3 linked regions of the Arabidopsis thaliana genome follow. The protein of the gene in region 1 interacts with the protein of each later gene in a pairwise test. Each region holds a gene or a part of one and is shown in the gene's direction. Other genes may lie near its edges. The genes, in order: HSP90.1, ROF1 and HSFA2.

Region 1 (3,753 bases):
TTGGTAGATCAGTTCATTGTCTATCGATGAAGACTGGGTATGATGCTGATGTGTTTGTGGGGAGTTCTTTGGTTGATATGTATGCGAAATGTGGAGAAATTGTTTATGCGAGGAAGATGTTCGACGAAATGCCTCAGAGAAATGTTGTTACTTGGAGTGGGATGATGTATGGGTATGCACAAATGGGTGAAAATGAGGAAGCTTTGTGGTTGTTTAAAGAAGCTTTGTTTGAGAATCTCGCTGTTAATGATTACTCGTTTTCGAGTGTTATTAGTGTTTGTGCAAATTCGACTCTACTTGAGTTAGGTAGACAGATTCATGGATTGAGTATTAAGTCTAGCTTTGATTCTTCTAGCTTTGTGGGAAGTTCTTTAGTCTCGTTGTATTCAAAGTGTGGTGTTCCTGAAGGAGCTTATCAAGTTTTTAACGAGGTGCCTGTGAAGAATCTCGGGATTTGGAACGCTATGCTCAAGGCGTATGCGCAACATTCACATACTCAAAAGGTTATTGAATTGTTCAAAAGGATGAAGCTTTCTGGAATGAAACCAAATTTCATAACTTTTTTGAATGTGCTCAATGCTTGTAGTCACGCGGGTCTAGTTGATGAAGGGAGATACTACTTTGATCAGATGAAAGAATCGAGGATTGAGCCGACGGATAAGCATTACGCTTCCTTGGTGGATATGTTAGGACGAGCTGGTAGATTACAAGAAGCACTTGAAGTTATCACTAATATGCCGATTGATCCCACGGAATCTGTATGGGGAGCTTTATTAACGAGTTGTACAGTCCACAAGAACACAGAGCTTGCAGCATTTGCAGCAGACAAGGTCTTCGAATTAGGACCAGTGAGTTCCGGTATGCACATTTCGTTATCCAATGCTTATGCAGCCGATGGTAGATTCGAAGACGCAGCTAAAGCTAGAAAATTGCTTCGAGACCGAGGGGAAAAGAAGGAAACAGGGCTAAGTTGGGTTGAAGAAAGGAACAAGGTTCATACATTTGCAGCTGGAGAAAGACGTCATGAGAAAAGCAAGGAGATATATGAGAAGCTGGCTGAGTTAGGGGAAGAGATGGAGAAAGCGGGTTACATTGCAGACACAAGCTATGTTCTGAGAGAAGTGGATGGTGACGAGAAGAATCAAACCATAAGGTATCATAGTGAGAGATTAGCTATTGCTTTTGGACTGATCACGTTTCCAGCTGATAGACCGATCCGAGTAATGAAGAATCTGCGTGTTTGCGGTGATTGCCATAACGCGATCAAGTTCATGTCCGTATGTACGAGACGAGTGATCATTGTGAGAGATAATAATCGGTTTCATCGGTTTGAAGATGGCAAGTGTTCTTGTAATGACTATTGGTGAAGAAGACAAATGAGAGTTGGTTTATATTTAACCATAATTTCATTCAGTTCACACTGAACCGGCGAAATTTCTTTGCCAGACCTATTCGGAATTGAAACAAGTGGAGTCTCGAAACGAAAAGAACTTTCTGGAATTCGTTTGCTCACAAAGCTAAAAACGGTTGATTTCATCGAAATACGGCGTCGTTTTCAAAGAACAATCCAGAAATCACTGGTTTTCCTTTATTTCAAAAGAAGAGACTAGAACTTTATTTCTCCTCTATAAAATCACTTTGTTTTTTCCTCTCTTCTTCATAAATCAACAAAACAATCACAAATCTCTCGAAACGCTCTCGAAGTTCCAAATTTTCTCTTAGCATTCTCTTTCGTTTCTCGTTTGCGTTGAATCAAAGTTCGTTGCGATGGCGGATGTTCAGATGGCTGATGCAGAGACTTTTGCTTTCCAAGCTGAGATTAACCAGCTTCTTAGCTTGATCATCAACACGTTCTACAGCAACAAAGAAATCTTCCTCCGTGAGCTCATCAGTAACTCTTCTGATGTAAGTTTCCCTTCAAATCTCTCTCTGCTCGGTGTGACTCGTCCGCTTCCTATTTTCTTGCATGTTGTTTGTTCTTTAATTCCTGGATTCGTTGATAGCGTTGGATTCGTAGGTTTAGCGTTGTGATTGCTTATTCAAATAAATCGTGATTTGGCTTGTGCATCACGTTAAGTTTAGAATTCTTAGCTTGTGCTCGATCTTCATGTGTTGTAGTTACATATATAGAACGGTTCTTGCTTCGATGTAGTCTTTGATTTACCCTAGAGGATTGAGGAAAGCTTCTGATTATCTTTGTTTATATGAATGGTTTTGTAGGCTCTTGACAAGATCCGATTTGAGAGCTTAACGGATAAGAGCAAGCTCGATGGACAGCCTGAACTCTTCATTAGATTGGTTCCTGACAAGTCTAATAAGACGCTCTCAATTATTGACAGTGGTATTGGCATGACCAAAGCAGGTAACGAATCAATGCCTAATAATCTCTCGTTGGTGAGATGTTTTAGTGTATGTGCTGTGGTTATGACTCTCTATTATTTTTTCAGATTTGGTGAACAACTTGGGAACCATTGCGAGGTCTGGAACAAAAGAGTTTATGGAGGCGCTTCAAGCTGGAGCTGATGTAAGCATGATAGGACAATTTGGTGTTGGTTTCTACTCTGCTTATCTTGTTGCAGAGAAGGTTGTTGTCACTACAAAGCACAATGATGATGAACAATACGTTTGGGAGTCTCAAGCTGGTGGTTCCTTCACTGTCACTAGGGATGTGGATGGGGAACCACTTGGTAGAGGAACTAAGATCACCCTCTTCCTTAAGGACGATCAGGTAAGGAATCGTAGCTTTGAGTGTTTTGGGGATTGTTTCTTTTCTTTTGGTGTTTTCTGTGTTCTTACAAGTGTGTTTATTCATGCAGCTTGAATACTTGGAGGAGAGGAGACTCAAAGACTTGGTGAAGAAGCACTCTGAGTTCATCAGTTACCCTATCTACCTTTGGACCGAGAAAACCACCGAGAAGGAGATCAGTGACGATGAGGATGAAGATGAACCAAAGAAAGAAAACGAAGGTGAGGTTGAAGAAGTTGATGAGGAGAAGGAGAAAGATGGTAAAAAGAAGAAGAAAATCAAGGAAGTCTCTCACGAGTGGGAACTCATCAACAAGCAGAAACCGATCTGGTTGAGGAAGCCAGAAGAGATCACTAAGGAAGAGTATGCTGCTTTCTACAAGAGCTTGACCAATGACTGGGAAGATCACTTAGCCGTGAAACACTTCTCAGTGGAGGGTCAGCTAGAATTCAAGGCCATTCTCTTTGTACCAAAGAGAGCTCCGTTTGATCTCTTTGACACGAGGAAGAAGTTGAACAACATCAAGCTTTATGTCAGGAGGGTGTTCATTATGGACAACTGTGAAGAGCTAATCCCAGAGTACCTCAGCTTTGTGAAAGGTGTTGTTGACTCTGATGACTTGCCACTCAACATCTCTCGTGAGACGCTTCAACAGAACAAGATCCTTAAGGTGATCAGGAAGAATCTAGTGAAGAAGTGCATTGAGATGTTCAACGAGATTGCTGAGAACAAAGAGGACTACACCAAATTCTATGAGGCTTTCTCCAAGAATCTCAAATTGGGTATCCATGAAGACAGTCAGAACAGGGGAAAGATTGCTGATCTTCTACGGTACCACTCCACAAAGAGTGGTGATGAAATGACGAGCTTCAAAGATTACGTCACAAGGATGAAGGAAGGTCAAAAGGACATTTTCTACATCACTGGTGAAAGCAAAAAGGCGGTGGAGAATTCTCCCTTCTTGGAGAGGCTGAAGAAGAGAGGATACGAGGTACTTTACATGGTGG
Region 2 (3,753 bases), on another chromosome or scaffold:
TCTAGTTCAAACATTATCTTTTGCTAAAGTTGGGAAGTGTGGTGGAAATGTCTTCTCCTTTTTTTTCTTGTAATGAGTCTTGTACGGTGGTGGTTATATCGATCTACGTCGGTTGTGTTCCCCTCGGTGATCTCGACCTCAGCGTAGGTGGCGATCAATGTTGGAAATGAAAATTCCTCCTCTGGATTATCAGTCTATCTTTTATTGGTATATTGCCATATATGTCTTCATATGGTATTCTGCTATCTTTCAATGAACATCACAAAAATAGTGATGCTTAATGTCTTCATATGATTCCCCTAAAGTTAGTGCTTTTGTGTTTTGTGTGACATATGGGATTGTCATATATATTTCGAATCTTTTTCGTTTGTTACACAATTAATTGCCTTAAAAAATTCAAACTATTAATTAAAAAGAAAAATCAGATAATTAAAATTCAGTGGCAACTATTGTAAATAAGTACCAACTCCAAGATTTATTTCACAAAATGGCTGCAAAATGTATATGTAGATATTTAGCTTAAGGAGGAGTCTAAATTTAACTTTAGAATTTTTTTAGAATATAATGTATATTAGAGTAAAAACATTTAGAATATACATATAAGGATTAAATTATATTGTGTATTATTTTTTACTGCATAAAATTGATTTGTAATTTTGAGAAATATAAGATAAATTTGCAAAAATTAACGAATTGGAAGATTGTTTTGCAAAAAATCCAAATATTTTGATATAAATTATTTGATCTATTGTTACCATATATTTTTGAACCATTTAATCCGTATTTTTCCTTGAAATGTGTTTGATATGGTTTATTTTGCATAAACAACTTGATTTGTGAATTTCATTTTCCTATTTGAAATCTCTTTACTATATAACTAGCCTTGTTGGGCGCGATCCACATATGTATTATATGATACTTTTGCTCATTAGTTAAAAAAAACAAAATGAATAGTTATTAGTCAAAACCCAATGTAGAGATATTGCCGACGTAGTCAACACATATGAATATGATATGATCCTGCAAAAAATTTTAACGACGTTAGAACCTAAAGAACATATGTGTTCTGGAACCACCTTTCTGTCACTTAACTCTGTCATCACCTTTCGAATAAATGATTTAAGGAGTTCTCTAGAAGACTAGAATCTTCCGTAACCTAAAACTCAACCTCATGTAGAAAGACTCACAAATCCAATTCCTCTATTCTCCTGCGAAAAACGGTTTCTTTATATCTCTCACGATTTGATTTCCTCTTCGCTTTTTTTAATTGAATTGAGATTGATGGATGATAATTTTAATTTCAAGATTTTTTTGTTAATCTTGTAATGGAAAATATTAAAAATAATTGCTTCAATATTGCAAAGCTTTGATATTTTAGAAAACAATTTTATTTAATAAAAGTGATATATATATATATATATATGTTATAGTATATTAAAAGTAAATTAGATTTAAAAGAAAGTGAGTGTATAAGAGACAAAACACGAAAAAAAAAATATGATTGAGGATGACAAATGGATTATAATTTCATATATATACATAATGAATTCAAGCTTGTAACTTATGAAAATTTAGGGGGATAATTAATACTCAATTCTAGATTTATTTATTTGCAACGTATCCATCTATACCTAGAGAATTTTTAATAATTTGTAAGCAAAAAATCTTGAAAGACCACAAATGGATTTGAATTTGTTCTGGATTTGTACTGTGATAATCCATTTTGCTTTGCTTGATTAGTTTTTACTTTTTACCATTGGTAATAATTTGGGATCATGTTTAGTTGTTTACTAGATAACCAATTTTGTTGGGCCTGATCCAACAATTTTGCCGATTATAAAGTAAATAAGTGAATAGTTAAGCCCAATATAAATTTACGAGTGACGGATCATCTGTGTTCTCGAACCATCTTTTTAACGAACTCTCTAGAACCCTTTTTCTTTTTCACCCAAAACCCAACCTCGTATAAATCTCACCAATCCATTTCTTCTCTTCTTCTTTGCGTTTTTTGTTTGGAACTGAATCGAAAAAGATGGATGCTAATTTCGAGATGCCTCCAGTCGGTGGAATGAACGACGACGACGACATGGATTTCGGTGACGGCGCCTCGTTTCTTAAAGTCGGTGAAGAGAAAGAGATCCAACAAGGTTTGAAGAAGAAGCTTCTTAAAGAAGGTGAAGGATATGAAACTCCTGAGAATGGCGATGAAGTTGAAGGTAATTAATTAATCGATTCAGATACTAATGCTTTTCGATTTAGGTTTTTTTGAATCGAAGCTTGAGCTTGATTTGTTTCTGCAGTGCATTACACTGGAACTTTGCTTGATGGGACGAAGTTTGATTCGAGTCGTGATAGAGCAACGCCTTTCAAATTCACTCTTGGACAAGGTTTGTGATTCTCATCTCCTAAAGACCTAATAGTTTCCGTATAGTTAGTAATCTGGAGAATTCGGTAGACTAATTTGATAGATATGAACTTGAATTGAGATATAGTTGTTGTTAAGTTCAAAATCGAATTTTTGTTGATGAATGTGTAATGGTTTGTGGTTGTTGGCATTGTGTTTTTGCAGGTCAAGTTATTAAAGGATGGGATATTGGTATTAAGACGATGAAGAAAGGTGAAAACGCTGTTTTCACTATACCTGCGGAGCTAGCATATGGGGAATCTGGTTCCCCGCCAACTATTCCTGCGAATGCTACGCTTCAGTTTGATGTGGAGTTGCTTAAATGGGACAGTGTGAAGGATATATGTAAAGATGGTGGTGTGTTTAAGAAGATTCTTGCTGTTGGAGAGAAGTGGGAGAATCCAAAGGACCTTGATGAAGTTCTTGGTGTGTGTTCACTCTCTTATGGCCTGCTTTAGAGGTTGGTGTGTGTTTGATTTTGCTAACGGTGTTTCCTGTGTATTTGTTAATTCAGTTAAGTTTGAGGCGAAACTTGAGGATGGTACTGTTGTTGGGAAATCTGATGGTGTGGAGTTCACTGTTAAAGATGGTTAGTGCTCTGAATTCTTTTAAGATATGATGGGATATGTTGGATAATGTATTCGCTCTTTGACATTCTTTGTGATCTATGATCATTAATAGGTCATTTCTGCCCTGCACTTACTAAGGCTGTGAAAACTATGAAAAAGGGTGAAAAGGTCCTTCTGACAGTTAAACCACAATGTAAGACGATTTGTCTCAATTGTTTTTTCACTGATCCTGGTATGGTGTGTATATCATCTCTTATTCCAATGTGCTTCTGAATGAGACAGATGGTTTTGGGGAGAAGGGCAAGCCAGCCTCTGCTGGTGAAGGCGCGGTTCCTCCTAATGCGACGCTCGAGATCAATTTGGAGTTAGTTTCGTGGAAAACAGTGTCAGAAGTAACTGATGATAACAAGGTTGTGAAGAAAGTCTTGAAGGAAGGGGATGGATATGAGCGTCCTAACGAGGGGGCAGTTGTGAAAGGTTTGCATTTCGGATTTTAGTACACTCATGTCTTCACCAGATATAACGGTTTCTTACGGGGTTTCATTTGTTTCTTTCTGGCAGTGAAATTGATAGGGAAACTTCAAGATGGTACTGTATTTTTGAAGAAAGGTCATGGTGAGAATGAGGAACCGTTTGAGTTCAAAACAGATGAAGGTAACTACACAGTTCCTAGTATTTTTCTGATAACTTTCCTTTGGATAGTTGGATGTGCTGGATTTTCCATGGCTTACTTAGTCATGGTAACTCATTTACTGGATGCTTAAACAGAGCAAGTTGTCG
Region 3 (3,753 bases), on another chromosome or scaffold:
TTAAAGTGAGTCCTTTCTGTGGATATCGTATGGATCGGTGCACTAGCAGTTCCAAGGACACCATCTTTTGTTGGTTTTCCTACGTTTCTAAATGCCCCAAGACCTCCAAAAGTCTCTTCCTCCCTTGCAACACCAGCAATACCTAAAAGAAAAACAGCAAAACATTTCCCAATATTATATAGAGAAATGGCTCAGAAGCTGCTAATACAAATATGAAAGCAAGGACACAATCCAAGTATCCATTCAGATTCAAACAAACAGTCTCTCCCTCCTTACCCACCTCTTTGCAATGTTCGAACCAGCTCACTTTGATCGAGCCTATCAACTTTAACCAATGCCTTAATGTATTCCGATAACGCAGAGGCATTCGCATGCAAAGAAGGTTGGCTTTCAAACATTCTGATAACAGCCTCAGGATCATTTCTTCGAATAAGTTCTCTCAGATGTGCAACCTCATTAACTTCTTCTCTATCACGGACTCTGCGAGCAAAGCTACCAACATAACTCGATTGAAACCTCGTTCGCGGTAAAGAAGCTCCACCACCACCCACAGCTATAGATAAAATAAAACCAATTTACATCAAAAACACTTCTAAAACAACAAGAACAACTCATAAACGGAATCAGAATTTACCTCCAGTAACTCCCACTCTAGGAAAAGAGGAGTAAGCTCTAACAAGTAAGCTTCTTAAACTGCTCAATTCCCTTTCATGACTCGAAACCTGTCATCGGTGAAGAGAATCAATACAGATGAAGTTAATTACTAATCCCAAACTCAAAATGACACTAGACAACACATGAAAACATTTTGATAAAAGTGAATACTTTTACCCATTTTGAATCAAAAAAATTGAAACTTTTTATACCAATTTCAAAATTAGGTGACTTGGGTAGTCAAATAAATCAAATGACAATATCACAGAGACAATCTAGAATCCTAAAAGACAACATTTTGAGGGCAGAGAAGAATTTGAGCTTCTAGGGTTTGAAAAATATCATCTTTAGCTTATGAATCACAAAGATCTTGATAAAACCCATCAGAAATTATTATCTAATTAGATCAAATCCACTACAGTATCAAACCAAAGTCGAAACCTTTTTCGTATTAAAAATTGGATAAAGGGGAAAAGAGAAAAATGAAACAAAAACCTTGGTGATGATGCGCCTCCAAGCCATCAATCAAATCTCTCCTTCACGATATCTTAAAAATTGGTGTTAATGTCTGATAAATCGAAGTTCCTCGATCTATATCGGAAACAAAAGACTTCTTCGTTGTGTTTGGGGAAGAACCGTTCTAATCTTATTCCCTAAAGTCTTAAAAACACTAAATTACACGTGAGAGACCTGTTTGGTTATCGGGTGAGAGAAAAATTGTGCAGCAGGTGGAGACACGCACGAGATATGTAGGTCGCCTCTTAAGTACATAAATACCCTTGGACATACCCAATAATTCATTTTAGTAGGCTTTTTCTGGCGGCCCACATTAAAAAGAAGGACCTAGAACATAAATTGGCATCGTTAGAAATGGGCTTAAGTAAAGGCCCATATGATATATATATAAAAAAAGAGATTCTAGATTAGTAACGAAGTTTCTGGAACATTGTCTTGTCTTGTCGCCACGTGCTCACATAAATGTCAAAGAAGCTTCAATACAGTGAAATGATCTTGTCTTGTCTCTAGAACCTTCTCTTCTCTCCCCTTATAATTTCATTTCTCTCTCCTCCACGCCTCAATCTCTCAACTCAAAACTCAACATTTTCTGAAGAAAGTCGCAAACTTTACCCAAAACCCAGTTTCTAATTTTAGCAACAAAATCAAAAATATCTACTTTTGTTTCTCGAAAGTTACGAAATTCATACAATCTAGCTTATCTCTGAGCTTATGGATTTGAGATAAACAACGAAAATGGAAGAACTGAAAGTGGAAATGGAGGAAGAAACGGTGACGTTTACTGGTTCTGTAGCGGCTTCTTCATCTGTAGGATCCTCTTCCTCTCCTAGACCAATGGAAGGGCTTAACGAAACAGGGCCACCACCGTTTCTGACTAAGACTTACGAAATGGTGGAAGATCCGGCGACGGACACGGTGGTTTCTTGGAGTAATGGTCGTAACAGCTTTGTGGTGTGGGATTCTCATAAGTTCTCAACAACTCTCCTTCCACGTTACTTCAAGCATAGCAATTTCTCAAGTTTTATTCGTCAGCTCAATACTTATGTAAGTACCTCTTTGCTTCCTTATATCTACTTAGTCTTGTTTCTGTTTTTGTTTCTAATTTTTAATTTTGGATTTCTTTAGATGGGTTTCCTATGAGTCTTCAGCTATAAAGGTTAGTTCTTTAAGCTTTTAAGTGGCTAAATTGAAATTAGATGCATTGAGATTTTGGTCATATGTTAAGAGAATCATTTAACATAAACTCTGTTCAATCCTCTGTTTCTGAAGTTCAAAATGTGTTTGGTAGTAAAAACAGAATCTTGGAATGATAAGTAAGGACTCTGCCTCAAGTTCAGTAGCTGATGAAACTTGTTTTGGTGATTGCAGGGATTCAGAAAGATTGATCCAGATAGATGGGAATTTGCAAATGAAGGGTTTTTAGCAGGACAAAAGCATCTCTTGAAGAACATCAAAAGAAGGAGGAACATGGGTTTGCAGAATGTGAATCAGCAAGGATCTGGGATGTCATGTGTTGAGGTTGGGCAATACGGTTTCGACGGGGAGGTTGAGAGGTTGAAGAGGGATCATGGTGTGCTTGTAGCTGAGGTAGTTAGGTTGAGGCAACAGCAACACAGCTCCAAGAGTCAAGTTGCAGCTATGGAGCAACGGTTGCTTGTTACTGAGAAGAGACAGCAGCAGATGATGACGTTCCTTGCCAAGGCGTTGAACAATCCGAACTTTGTTCAGCAGTTTGCGGTTATGAGTAAAGAGAAGAAGAGTTTGTTTGGTTTGGATGTGGGGAGGAAACGGAGGCTTACTTCTACTCCAAGCTTGGGGACTATGGAGGAGAATTTGTTACATGATCAAGAGTTTGATAGAATGAAGGATGATATGGAAATGTTGTTCGCTGCAGCAATCGATGATGAGGCGAATAATTCGATGCCTACTAAGGAGGAACAATGTTTGGAGGCTATGAATGTGATGATGAGAGATGGTAATTTGGAAGCAGCGTTGGATGTGAAAGTGGAAGATTTGGTTGGTTCGCCTTTGGATTGGGACAGCCAAGATCTACATGACATGGTTGATCAAATGGGTTTTCTTGGTTCGGAACCTTAACTATACGGTATTAACACATCTACTTGTTGCGGTCTAAGTTATGGTAATGCTACCACTTTTATTTACTAGTTGAATTGTTTGTTTGTTTGTTTTGACTCAAGGAAGAGTCATTGAGTGTGGTTTGTTGTACATTTGTGTTTTCTTGTTCTGATGAATAAAAAACTCTGATTTCGTTTGACAATTTTAATGGTTGTTTGTTTTTCCTTCTCCAGACCTTAGAAGCATGAGATGGAGCTGCGATAAGAGTATCAAGCTCCGTGTCTACTTATCTTAGTACTCACTTTGGTCAACATTTAGGAGTTTATGTAATTAGTAACTTTTGCTAAGCTTTCTTAGAGAAAAGAGGTCATGATACTAAGAAAGTATTTCTTTGAATGTAACACTTTTAATTTTGAAGTTCATAAAATTTACAAACTTGTTGATCTAGTTACTTGGGACATAATTGGAACTAAATGGCCTGTGTGATATTTTTGTAGATCAAGTTCC

The links.
Region 2: the proteins of HSP90.1 (region 1) and ROF1 interact in binary tests that used the Arabidopsis thaliana proteins (3 or more experiments, as listed by UniProt).
Region 3: the proteins of HSP90.1 (region 1) and HSFA2 interact in a protein complementation assay, tested with the Arabidopsis thaliana proteins (one study listed by BioGRID).

Annotation. Positions count from the first base shown.
Region 1 is NC_003076.8:21,350,775-21,354,527, forward strand, and holds the start of HSP90.1 (heat shock-like protein), read left to right. Parts: upstream 1-1,782; coding exon 1,783-1,905; intron 1,906-2,220; coding exon 2,221-2,362; intron 2,363-2,447; coding exon 2,448-2,728; intron 2,729-2,816; coding exon 2,817-3,753. Other genes in the region: MEF1 (mitochondrial RNAediting factor 1), read left to right, coding at 1-1,367. UniProt on the Arabidopsis thaliana protein: Functions as a holding molecular chaperone (holdase) which stabilizes unfolding protein intermediates and rapidly releases them in an active form once stress has abated.
Region 2 is NC_003074.8:9,186,225-9,189,977, forward strand, and holds the start of ROF1 (rotamase FKBP 1), read left to right. Parts: upstream 1-1,956; 5' UTR 1,957-2,032; coding exon 2,033-2,216; intron 2,217-2,300; coding exon 2,301-2,387; intron 2,388-2,569; coding exon 2,570-2,830; intron 2,831-2,918; coding exon 2,919-2,993; intron 2,994-3,085; coding exon 3,086-3,166; intron 3,167-3,255; coding exon 3,256-3,450; intron 3,451-3,534; coding exon 3,535-3,627; intron 3,628-3,741; coding exon 3,742-3,753. UniProt on the Arabidopsis thaliana protein: PPIases accelerate the folding of proteins. It catalyzes the cis-trans isomerization of proline imidic peptide bonds in oligopeptides.
Region 3 is NC_003071.7:11,133,951-11,137,703, forward strand, and holds the start of HSFA2 (heat shock transcription factor A2), read left to right. Parts: upstream 1-1,673; 5' UTR 1,674-1,905; coding exon 1,906-2,214; intron 2,215-2,295; coding exon of another isoform or gene 2,296-2,326; intron 2,327-2,538; coding exon 2,539-3,267; 3' UTR 3,268-3,753. Other genes in the region: ftsh4 (FTSH protease 4), read right to left, coding at 1-142, 281-553, 635-722, 1,150-1,176. UniProt on the Arabidopsis thaliana protein: Transcriptional activator that specifically binds DNA sequence 5'-AGAAnnTTCT-3' known as heat shock promoter elements (HSE). Seems to be involved in other environmental stress responses.